Linked DNA regions of Caenorhabditis elegans. The protein of the gene in region 2 purifies or fractionates together with the protein of the main gene of each other region. This does not show direct contact. Each region holds a gene or a part of one and is shown on either strand. Other genes may lie near its edges.

The links. Proteins that work in one complex are often made in the same cells at the same time.
Region 1: the proteins of rrp-1 (region 2) and rpac-40 fractionate together in Caenorhabditis elegans (co-fractionation; one large-scale study listed by BioGRID). This does not show direct contact.

The regions. Positions count from the first base shown.
Region 1 is NC_003283.11:4,197,193-4,204,856, reverse strand, and holds rpac-40 (DNA-directed RNA polymerases I and III subunit RPAC1), read right to left. Parts: upstream 5,373-7,664; 5' UTR 5,367-5,372; coding exon 5,283-5,366; intron 4,564-5,282; coding exon 3,884-4,563; intron 2,841-3,883; coding exon 2,737-2,840; intron 2,685-2,736; coding exon 2,568-2,684; intron 1,414-2,567; coding exon 1,298-1,413; 3' UTR 1,161-1,297; downstream 1-1,160. Other genes in the region: H43I07.1 (Peroxin-14), read right to left, coding at 1-94; algn-5 (dolichyl-phosphate beta-glucosyltransferase), read right to left, coding at 5,765-5,797, 6,444-6,632, 7,462-7,615.
Region 2 is NC_003282.8:9,979,586-9,984,570, forward strand, and holds rrp-1 (Ribosomal RNA processing protein 1 homolog), read right to left. Parts: upstream 2,692-4,985; 5' UTR 2,682-2,691; coding exon 2,555-2,681; intron 2,507-2,554; coding exon 2,283-2,506; intron 2,238-2,282; coding exon 2,126-2,237; intron 2,076-2,125; coding exon 1,562-2,075; intron 1,475-1,561; coding exon 1,258-1,474; 3' UTR 1,149-1,257; downstream 1-1,148. Other genes in the region: dhp-2 (Dihydropyrimidinase 2), read left to right, coding at 443-755, 804-1,124; mam-2 (MAM domain-containing protein), read left to right, coding at 3,705-3,756, 3,806-3,901. UniProt on the Caenorhabditis elegans protein: May be involved in the generation of 28S rRNA.

The DNA of each region.
Region 1 (7,664 bases), on a different chromosome or scaffold from region 2:
GATGATCTTTTCCATATCGGAGCACCGCATCGGCAATTGGTTTGGAGACCTGCCGGGCGGCAATCATAAATACTTGAATCATAGGCAATCCCATCCTTCCTCCTTGTCCTTTTTCTCTTTTGTCACATAGAAATCTGAAAAAAGCTGAAATTTTTTTCGAAGCCTTACAAGTCGGATTTTTCAGAAAAATCGAAAAATTTTCGTTTTTTTTTGGTATAAAAAATTGATTTTTCAAGAATTTGCTGGAAATTTTGGCAATTTTTAGAAATTATAAAATTTGATGAAATATTGGATTTTCTGATTTTTCTGAAAAAAAAAACATTTTTTAGAACAACAATTTGATAAATTTTTAAAAAGATTTTTCGATTTTTTTTTGGTTTTTTTATTAATTTTTTTTAAAAGAAAGTTATATTTTTTTATCAACATAATCGAAAATTTTTTATTTTTCAAAAGTTATTTGAAAATTGTTCTGAAAATAAAAAAAATTTGGAAAAATAATCTTATCCATTTTTTTTGTTAATTTTCTTCTTTTTTCTCTCCGAAAAAAAATCTAATCTAATAAATTTTTATTTTTTCGATATTAAAAAAATTGTTTTAAAAAAAATTACTTAAAATTTTGGTATTTTTTAGAAATTATATAATTCGACAAAATATTGAATTTTTGCTAGTTTTCTAAAAACAATCGTTTTTTTTTCAATTTTCTGAAAAAAATTCGAAAACTGCCCCGTTTTTCCAGTATTTCGAAAAAGGATATTTTTTAGAACAAAATTGATTTTTCTTTTTTTCTGCAAAGAAAAGATTTTTCGCTTTTTCGATTTTCCGGAAAACCGAAAATGTTAGTTTTACAATTTTTTATTCAAATTTTGGTTTTTTTTTTTAATTTTTTGAAGAAAATTATATTTTTTCATCAGGATAGACAAAAATTGATGATTTTTAAAGTTTTGTTTCTAATTTTTCTGAAAATCGAAAAGAATTCGTTTTCCAATATTTTGAGAAAATAGCTCAAAATTTTGGAGTTTTTCCATTTTTTAATAATTTTTTTCTGAAAAAACCGAAAAAATGAATGATTTTTCTATGAACCTGTTAAAAAACTACAAAAAAAACAAATAAAAAATGGAAATTTCAACCATTTGGCCAACTAGGAGATATTTGAAGGTAAAAAAGCCACGAAAATTCATTCAAATTAAGAAAAAAGAAAGTGACGGAACAGTGTAACAACTTGAGGGGTAGTCAAACAACAACAAAAAAAAAGGATAACGAATAAAAAAATAGTAACAAAATTTCAAAAAAACGGGGATTATTGAATAAGAGCCTCGATTTGTTTGCGAAGAGAACGACACTTGATTTCCATGACTTTACAGGCTTCAACCACCAATTCAGACGATTTCAGAGCTCCAGTCGACTCTACACTGACTGAAAAAAAAACTAAAATTGCCGGAATTCAAAATTTCCGGCAAATCGGCAAACCGGCAAATTGCCAATTTGCCGAATTTGCCGGTAAAAATTGTGAAAAATTTTTTGTGTGTTTTTTTTTCAGTTTAAAAAAAAAGAAATTTGAAATTTTGGCAATTTTTTTAAATGGTTTTTTGGTTTTTTTTTGTATTTTTGAAGAAATTTTCATTTTTCTCATTGAAATATAATTTATTTTTAAATAAGTTTATAGTTTTTCCCTCTTTTTTCCTACGTTTTTTTCGGTTTTTTTTTTATATTTAAAAAAAATCGACTTTCTCAACCAAAAAAATTAGAAAACTTGGGAAAAATCGAAAAATTTCTGACGACGAAATTTTGTGTTTTTTTTTCGTTAAATTTTTTTTTCTCATCAGTTTCGATAAAATTGATTTATGGGGTTATTCAAGTAGTGTCGGAAAATTAAAAAGTGTAAAAAAATTTTTGCGAAAAAAAAAAAAAATTGCTACATTACTTGAATAACCCCATTAGAAAAAATCATATTTAATGGTTAATTTTAACCGATTTTTACTAATTTTCCACAAAAATTCGGGCCCTTGAAAAGTAGAAAATTTAGGATTTTTGTAATTTTATCGGAAAAAAGTTCGAAAAAATGGGTTTTTTTTGTGAATTTTTCAGAATTTTTCGAATTTTCCCCAGTTTCTGCTCAATTTTAATTTTCTGAACATTTTTTTTAAAAATTTTTTCGTTTTTTTTAAGTTCGAAAACTCAAAAATTTTCTTTTCCCAATTTCCAATTTTTCAACTTTTCGTTTTAAAAATTTTTTCAAAAAAAAAATCGAAAAACGGCACGTCTGTACCATGTTTCTGGCGAAAATTCTTTTTTTTTCGAAAAAAAAAGCGAAAAAAAATATATAAAAACTCCGGCTCCAAAAAAAATTACTTATACATTTTCCAAAAAAACCACTCTCAAAATTAAAAAAAAGAGTTAAAATTTGGCAAAAATATTTAAAATTTTCAAAATAAGGTTTCAAACTTTAACAAAATTGGGGTTTGTTTTTCGACAACTTTTCGTGTATTTTTTTTTGGAAAAAAAACCAAAAAAATGCGAAAAATTCATGAATTTCAGTTTTTTTTTTCGAATTCAGCCCTGCCACTAACAAATGAAATGCTGTTTGTTCTTTCCCAATTGAACAACTTTCGACAGATCTTCGTGGCGGAACACGTTACGACTGCACGTATCCTTGCGAGCATCCTTGACAACAGCAATTCGTTTGGCTGAAATTTTAAAAAAATTGGTGTGTTTCCTAAAAATTGATTTATGATCTACCTCCTTTCTTCTCGATAGCAATAACTCCCTCGCTGAATACTGATTTGAGACGTTCGGCAGCTTCACCCGAAATTTCGGCGTTCAAGCGGATCGTTGGAAGCAGTCTGGAATGAAAAGAAATTTTTTGAAAAATTGGAAGAATTTGAAGGTCAAATTGGCAAACCGGCAAACCGGCAAATTGTGTTTTTGCACATTTTTTTTGGAAATTTCAGATTTTCAATTTCAATCGGCTAAATTGTACGCATCCTATAAATGTTCCTACATGTATTTTGAAAAGTAGGCAAATTCTATGAAAATTTCCGGCAAACCGGCAAATCGTCAATTTGTCAAAAATGAAAATTCCGGCAAATCGGTAAACCGGCAAATTGCAGAAAATGAAAATTCCGGCAAATCGGTAAACCGGCAATTAACCGAAATCGAAGTTTCCGGCAAATCGTCAAACTGGCAAATTGCCGAAAAAGAAAATTTCCGGCAAATCGACAAATCGGCAAATTGCTGAAAATGAAAATTTCCAGCAAATCGCCGAAAATGAAAATTTCCGGCAAATCGACAAATCGGCAAATTGCTGAAAATGAAAATTTCCAGCAAATCGCCGAAAATGAAAATTTCCGGCAAATCGACAAATCGGCAAATTGCTGAAAATGAAAATTTCCAGCAAATCGCCGAAAATGAAAATTTCCGGCAAATCGCCGAAAATGAAAATTGCCGAAAATAAAAAAAAATTGGCAATTTGTCAAATTTGTCGACAAAAAAATTCACCTCTGGCTTGAAATTTTCGAACTTTTTTTTCCACAAAATTACAGAAAACAGTCTAAATATACTGAATATAGGTAGATGTACAAAAATTATTTAACTTCCCCAAAATATCTCGTAGCGAAAACTACAGTAACTCTTTAAAAGCTACAGTAGTCATTTAAAGAATTACTGTAGTTTTCGCTACGAGATATTTTGCGCGTCAAAAATTTTGTGTAATACGCATTCTCAGAATTTGGGGTCCCGTAAAACCGAAAATATATTATATGAATTATAATTTTTTTCCCCCCAATTTTTCACTTTTTCCGAGAAAATCGAAAAACGAAAAATTTTCAATTTTCCGGAAAACCGCAAAAATCAAAAGAAAATATTTCAGCAGCTTCAAAATTCACACCTATAGGACGCAGTAGCAACCGGTGAGAACTTTGCATGATCCCGTCCGATTCCCTTGACCGCATGGCAACTGGCTTCAATTTCCTGTCCAGGACGAAGCTTGGCAACGAGAATATCATCAGAAACCATACGTGGATGGGCTTCTTCGGTGAATTGCGTCTTCTGATCAGCAATCGGTACCCATTCAAAAGCACGTGAGTAGACCGAGCTATTGTGATAAAGCTGCTTCGGATCGGTAGCCGTCGGCACCGCATTTCGATTCTTCGTACACGAAACATTAATCTTGAAGATCAAATTTTTCGCGGGATCTCCCTCGGGCTCCTCGTCACAATCCACTCCCTTCTCATTGATTCCAACGACTTTTTCCTTTGGAAACTGAAATCCACGTGGATCCACACGAAGCGGCAGAAGACCCAAACGATGGCAGAGTACTTCATCTTGAATTACAGAAGTATTCTGATAGAGATAAATCTTCTCGAGAGCCATCGTTGGCACTTCGGCGATGAGCACACGGCGAAGAGCATTTGCAATTGGAGCTTCAATGCGAGTAATATCAAATTCCAATGTCATTCCATCGTCGGATTCATTGACCATTGCCACTTGGATTTGATCGCAATACTCGTTGATATCGAATTGTTTTGTATCGTCGTATTCGACATAATCGGTGCATTCGTCGTAGGTCTGGAATTGAAGAAGAATTTTTGGAAAATTTAAAAAAATAAAAATTTCGGCCGAAAAGCAAAAAATCGAATTTCTTCAAAAAAAAAAAACAAAAAAAAATATTGACCAGAAATGTCGGTTTTTTGGTTTTTTTTTCCTTTTTTTTTTGAGACGAAAAAATTGGCAAAAAAATTTTCCCGTGGTGGAGAGTTGAACTCAAACTGCTGCGAGTGAATATAAGCATTGACTCCATCTTCGATTTGCTGTTCAAGCGTGGGCGTTTTTAGCTTCTTGCTCTTCGGTCCGGAGGACATCGCGACAACGACGTTACGCGTGGTGAAAAATACACGCAATCCGCTTTTTTTTTGTTCATTTTTTCTTTGGTTTGTGTTTTTTTTTTCCAAAAAGTTGAAAAAATCGAAAGTTAATTTTTTCTTGGTTTATCTCACAATTTTAAATTTTTTCAATTTTTTTTGAAAAAAAGTAATCTTTCACTAATTTCCGGCAGTTGATAAATCGCCGCCTTTTTTCGTAAATTTGTATAACAATTTTTTTCGGAAAAATAACGATTTTCAATAAAAAATTGGAATTTTTTAAAATTTTTCTGGACGAAATTTTAAAAAAATACGGAAAATGCTTTTGCCGCCTGATTTCCTAACGAGACCCAACGTTTGGGGGCGGAGCGCTCTCGTTTCCCAATGGAGCGCGATTGCATCCTTGAAATATTCAAAAAATCCTACATTGAGCACAACTTCCTCTTTCATCTCGATCTCATCACTGTGATAGGTAGCCTGCTTGCTAGTTGCCGCCGCTTTTTTGACCATTTTTGCCTGGAAATTTTTTGATTTTTTTCGCCTGAAAACTCTATGGAAAGATATAAAATCGCTGGGAAAACGAAAAAAAAAACAAAAAAATGGAAAAAAACATTTAAATCGATATTTTTTTGAATTTAGCATTAAAAATAAACCCAGAGTCCCCAGAACAAGAGAGAAAAAAAAGAAAAACCAACAAGTAAATAAATAAATAATAAAAATGCGAAAAGAAAAAAGAATAGAATCACATTTTCAAGGAATCATGGATATTTACAACCAGCCATAAATTGGAAAAAAAATCAGGAAAAAGCAGGGAAAAAAAGTGATTAAAGCATAGATATTACTAGAAGAAAAAGGAAATTTTTGGGCAAGATTTTTTGAAAATCTCGTATCGATTTTTTGTGGAGCATTTAGCGAGGCTGGTCATCCGTCCAAATTCCGATCTGAAAATAAAATTTTAATGTCAAAAATATTGTCAGGTCGCTCTACCGCACACGAAAATGGCGGGAAAATATTTTTTGAAAATTTGTGACGTCACACAGCGCATTTTGAATAATTGCTTTTGTTCAATTTAAGCGCCGATTTTCGTGAAATTTTTTTAAAAACTGGCTCATTTTAATTTATAAAATTTGATATTTTACAAAAATTCTAAAATTTAGTGGAGAAATTGAAGCAAAATACAATAAAAATGAATAATTTCAATTTAAACAAAAATTTATTTGGAAAATCATTTTTAAAAAATTCACGGAAACTTGGTAAATGAACGGTTTAAATGGTTTTTCGAAAAAAAAAATTCGTTTCAATTGAAATTATTCATTTTTATTGTGTATTTTGCTTCAATTTTTCCACTAAATTTTAAGAATTTTGGTAAAATATCAAATTTTATAAATTAAAATGAGAAAGATATTATTTATTTATTTTTTTTTTAAGTTTGACAAAAATCGGCGCTTAAAATTAAGAAAATTATTCAAGATACGCTGTGACGTCACAAATTAAAAAAAAAATATTTTCCCGCCATTTTCGTGTGCAGTAGAGCGATGGGACATCCTGACACCACTTCAAAAAAGGCCTAAAAAACTGCAATTTTACCGTATATCTGAACCAAATGAGCACAAGATCTCGGCCCATTTGAAGCCAAGACCAAATTGGAGTAATCTTAGACCCTTCGATTTCAGTCCATCGAACTGAAACTTCTTTCACAGGGACCGTCCATCTTTCGCAAAGGAAGATGAGCTCAACGTCAAAAGCCCAGCGCTCAATGTGAAGTACTGGGAAAATCTGAAAAAAAAACGTTTTTTTTTTTTGGTTTTTTTTACTTTAATTTGACGAATTTTAGCTAAAATCTTAAATCAGGAATTGAAAATTTTCGGCAAATCGGCAATTTGCCGGAATTGAAAATTTCAGGAAAATCAGCAATTTGCCGGAATTGAAATATCCGGTAAATTGACAAATTGCCGTTATTGAAAATTTCCGGCAAATCGACAAATCGGCAAATTTCCGGAATTGAAAATTTCCGGCAAATCGGCAAACTTCCGGAATTGAAAATTTCCGGCAAATCAGCAAATTGCCGGAATTGAAAATTTCTGGCAAATCGGCAAATTGCCGGAATTGAAAATTTCCGGCAAATCGGCAAACTTCCGGAATTGAAAATTTCCGGCAAATCGGCAAATTGCCGGAATTGAAATTTCCGGCAAATCGGCAATTTTGCTGAATTTAAAATTTCAGGAAAAATGGCAAACCGACAAATTGTCGATTTGACGAATTCGCCTGAAACACGGCAATTGCCGAAAATTTTCGGCAAATTGTGGTTTTGCACATTTTTGGAAATTTCAGAGGTTAAGAAAAATCCCTGTAAAAACTTGCGGCAAATTGGAATCCGGCAATTTTCGAGAATTTAAAATTTCCGGCAAATCGGCAAACCGGCAACTTGCCGACTTGCCGAATTTGTCGACAAAAAAGTCTGCCAATTTTTTAAACATTTTCTCCCAAAAAGAAAAAAAAATTCGAACATATATATATATATATAATAGTCGATTTCCGACCACTACGACCCCAAAAAGTAGGCCAAAATTGGAGATTTTTAGCTAAAAATAAGCTAAAATCTCACCCTCGCAGCAATCGATCTAGTAAAAAGTTTGAATCCACACTGTGTATCTTTAATTGTTCTTGCAGCAAAAGTATAGACGAGTAAGTGAAAACCGAGCATTAAAATTGTGCGTGGAACTGATCTAACAGCCATAGATTCGGCTTCCAAATGCGCTCTGAAAATGGGAAAATTATTAAAAATTTCTATAAAAATCAATTAAAAAC
Region 2 (4,985 bases):
GCACATACTCTAGAACTTGATGGGTAAAAAACTTACGGAAGAAACAGCGCGGATTTTCCGCAGGCACAGATTCAGAGTAAGTCCAGCCCAACTGTCAGATTGCTCGGAATTTTTAATTATATTATTGTAATTTCACGATATTTTGACTTGCCCTTCCAAAGACACACGAATGTATTACGATGGGTCTAGGTGCGCAAAAAAGTTTGTGGTAGTCTTTTATTGTCCATTTTCTACAAAATTCGCTAAAACTAAAATCGTTTTTAGCTAAAAATGAAGTAATCCCGTGTACCTTCAAAGAAGAGGTCGAAATCTCGTGAAATTACGATAACTCAAACTTTCCTAGCATATTCGGTGGAAATTAGAATAAAATTTTCAAAAGAGACAGTTCACCTTTAAATTTTCAATTAAAACCCCCAACATTTTGAGACTAAACAATTTTCAGTGGAGAATTGCATCTCACTGCCACCGATAATTGTACATTTGATTGTCAACAAAAGTCTCTTGGTAAAGATGATTTCACAAAAATTCCGAATGGAGTAAACGGAGTTGAAGACAGAATGTCAGTTGTTTGGGATAAAGGAGTTCATGCTGGAATCATTGATCCTATGAGATTTGTGGCAGTCACTTCTACAATGGCTGCTAAGATCTTCAATTGTTACCCACAGAAGGGAAGAATCGCAGTTGGCTCCGACGCGGATATTGTGATTTGGAATGCGAATGCAACTAGAACTATTTCAAAAGATACACATCATCATGTGAGTTTTAGGTTTTAGTAAATTCAATTTTAATGCAAAAAATTCAAGGCGATTGACTTCAATATTTTCGAAGGAATGCAAGTACACGGAGTTCCAGAAATCACAATTTCCCGAGGACGTACTGTTTGGGCAAATGGTCAACTGAAAACTGTTCAAGGTTCAGGACAATTCATTCCTTTGGCTCCAGACTCTCAAATCGTCTTCTCAGCTGTTGACAATCGTAAGAAGGCTATGGAACCTGTGAAAATAGACCGAATTCCATATGAGCCATCGGCACTGCAGACACCTGATGCCAATGCGAACATCGTTGTGAAAGCTCCAGTCAGGGCAGCAATTCCTCCAGGAGGAGCTAGCAGCATTCAGTTTTAAATCTACTTGTAAATAATTGTTTTTTTTTTATTTTTAAAAATTCAATAAAAAAATCACTTCCAAAAAGTAACAATGCATCAAAAATTGAAATTATAACAAAAACATAACAAATCAAGCAACAATGATATTCAGATTAATTTTTCTTTCCTGCTTTTCTTTTCAGGCCGCCGACCATTCTCTTCTTTCCGACTCCTTTAGCTTTCAAAAGTGGGCGCCCTTTCTTCACTTTAGGAACTGCTGTTTTCTTTCCATTTCCTTTTTTAACTTCAGCGATTTCGTCATCTGGAACATCATCTCCGTTCTCCTGCCGTGCAGCTTCGGCAGCCTCACGAGCTCGCTTTTTGATTTGGCTTTAAAAAATTTTTATTTTTAAAGTTTTTACATTTCACGATAAATCTAACAATAAATTCGTCAGCTTAATACGCCTATAAGTGTACCTTTTAACTTTTCTGGACGACTTTCTCTCTTGCTTGAAGCTGTTGGCCAACACAATGGCCTTCTTCTCGGCTTCTTCATAATCATGTCTTGTCAACCTCTCCTTTGGAACTGGGGTCTCGAAATGTAATGGATCTTGTCCACGAGAACTCTTATCGAACTTCTTAACAAGATCATAGATCTTCTTTCTTCTCTTAGCATTTAAATGTTCTTGCTTTCCCACTTCAAATAGCAACGCTCCGATTTCCTTGTAACTGAATTCAATTCCACCTTGATCCATCTCTTCTCCTTCTTCAACAGCGGTGATCAAATCACTTTTCTGCTGGAGAATAGTTTTGAAAATTTCTTCATAAAGTGATGTGAACAAATATTCACTGATGTCTTTGTTTCCGAGAAGTTCAATGTATGGCTTGAGACAGGCCGTCACTTGCTTCTTGGTTAATCCTCCGGCTGCATCAAGTTCGTCGAGAAGAATCGAGGCAAAATGGAACTTTAGAGCTTCGTTGAAGGACTTATCTGAAAATTAATCGAAATATAATGAGAATAAAATTAACAAATCTACTAACCTGTGGAGATAGTAGTTTCCTGGAAAACTTTCCAGTATTCGTCACGGATATCCTTTTTCCATTTTAATTCGGCAAGATGAGTGAAGCAAGCTCGAACCATACGACGAACTTCCTAAAATACAACGACATTTTAGACGAAGGAATATTACAAATTTACCATCAAGAATTTATCCATGCGCCATCGATCGATATGAGGCCACTCTTTGGAAAGACTTTTCAGAAAGCACGCAACAAAGCGTACTTTTTCTTCCTCCGATGTGAAAATATTAATAAGTCCTCCAATTCTGTCAGCCAGCTCTTCCTGAAGAATCATTTTGTCTTGCATCCACATCACATAGTGAAGGCCCTTGCATAAGCGCATCAAGTCAGCATCATCGAAATCTGAATATAAACTTTTAACAATTATATGTAAGTTGGAAAATAACTCACGTTTCTTTGCGGACTGATCACGAATCCAATCGTGAAGAACGCGAAGAGCTCTTTGACGCGTAGCTGGCTCTCCGCAAGCGAGTTTCTGAGCGAAAACTACTTCGACGCTTGCCAAGTCGACATCCATTATTGGAATTCTAAAAAATAAGTAATATTTGAACTGTCTTAAAATAGAAAAGTAACAAATTTTGAAAAATCCATTTGAATAAACTGTATTGGCTTCAACAAGTATTCCAATACTGTTTTTTGAACAGAACCCCGTTTTTACTTGATTTACGGATGAAAGTAATTGTAAAATGGTGAAAAATTATTTTTATAATTTTTTTACAATGAAAGTTTTATAAAATATTGGAAAATCATTACGGAAATACAGAAATTGGAAATAAAAATTGAATGAATAAAAAAAGAATTAGAGGATGCAGTGCACTGGGGCGCACTTGCCTCCTGTGGAGAGAGCATGTGGGACGTAGAGTCGCAGAGTGAACTTGCCTAACTTTTTGGAAACTGCCAAAGAACATCTTATACATTTTCAAAAAATGTCGGTCTTTGAAAAATTAAATAATTTTCATTCGAGAGTTTCGAATCATGTATAAACAGCGATGATGCATGCATGTAAATTATCGGGGAGAGTGCCCGACAACCTCAATAAGGTTTTGAAACTATGTTGGTTCAGAAGAACATGCTTCCTAGAAGTGAAATCTTTGAATATATTAAAATTCGGATGAATTCTCAGTGAAACATATTCATATTTTTCGTTATTCCTCAACACCGAGAATCACTTCTCTCGTCATTCAAATCCCGCTTTTCAGAGTCACAATGAATTGCCGCAATTGTTTTTGCATCAGAAGTAGCTGTCCTCTCTCTCTCTCTCCCTATTTCTTTCATTCTCTTTTCCTTTTTACGCAACAAGATCGTCCTCTATTTATGCATTTATATCAGAAATGAACACGAAAAGAGAAATAGAGAGAAAGACAGTATCTGCTTCTTGGCTTTTCTCCAGCTTATTTTCTCAGAGGATGCAAAAAAGTGGGAGGAGCGTGGTTTTTGTTCAGGAAACGATAACATTCGCCTCCCACCATCCTCTTGCCAACCACCAATTCTTTTAAGATTTTCAGTTTCTACTACATATCTCTAATTCTCCAAATTTTAGATGACAATTTTATTATTGTTTACTGTATTTTTTGGGTTTATACCCTTTACAGGTATTTTGAATTCTAAAAAAGCAACTAGAATAATCGTTGAAAATTTAAGAAGTTGAAGCATGTATGCCTGGATACGAAGCTGAAAGAGATCGATTAAGGGAACATTTAGGAATTGAATGGATCCAAAATGGACTCTCAAAATCAGGTAGGATTTTTGAAAAGGCTGTACTTTTTGGTATGTCGTTAGCTCAAGAAAACATGAATTTAGGCGATAGTGAATCCTGTGTTTATTTTCAGAAATTTCAAATTTCAAAGGGTAAATAAATAAGTACAATCGTGGCGAGGCGCAATTAGAAAATAAGTGTGTGCCTTTAAATTTACGTTTTACTAATTTACGATAGATATATGAGAAAGTTAACTGTGGTTGAGATGAGAAACAAATTGGAGCTTTTCTATGTGTTTCTCTGTTTTAGTTGTGCGGAAATTGGTTTGGATTTTTAAGCCTATCCCAGCTTAAATTTAAAACTAAGACTTCTATAGTACCTGCCTGCTTTAGAGCAGCCAGCCTACTAAATCATAAAACCAAAAAAAATCACGAAGACTTTGCCAACTTCTAATGTTTTTGTCCTACTTTTGTAGCAAGTTCAATAGACACGAGTAAAACAGTCAAAGGAAAATTCCAAGTAGGCACAAGTTAAGGCACAAGGCAGGCATAGGTGGCGTGAAAAGTAACTATGCAGGTATTTTTTTACCACGAGAATTTCAAGATTATTAATTAAAGTGTAGTCTATTTTTCTCTATGAGCGGAAAGCTTCAAGCAGGAAATGGAGTTTTTTAGTGAGCACATCGTGTTCTACAATTGATTTTTTTTAACTAGTGTTCCATCGTACTAATTCACACTGATCGTTCTTCACAAATGCTTATAGATTGTATACTTATGTCTTTCTTTTCTTTGACTCATACCGTCCTGATCCGTCGATTCTCCTTTGGTAAGCTTTCTTTTTTCTGATATTTCAGCTAGTGCGATGGCGTAACATCTGCATTTCGGATGATATAACGTTGATATGGATTACGAGGCTAGGAAACCAAAAAAACGTGTTTATTCAAGGATAATCATTATCACTTTGTTAGGCAAGGACAGTTGGCACGATGATCATTGAGATTTTTGAGAAGAATTGTAGAGTCATGTGAACATATCGAACATTCCTAGTACCTGTTCACAGTTGTGAGATTGCTTAAAAATTACACGTATCAGTTTGAAATTTCAAGAACAGTTTAAGGGTTTTCAT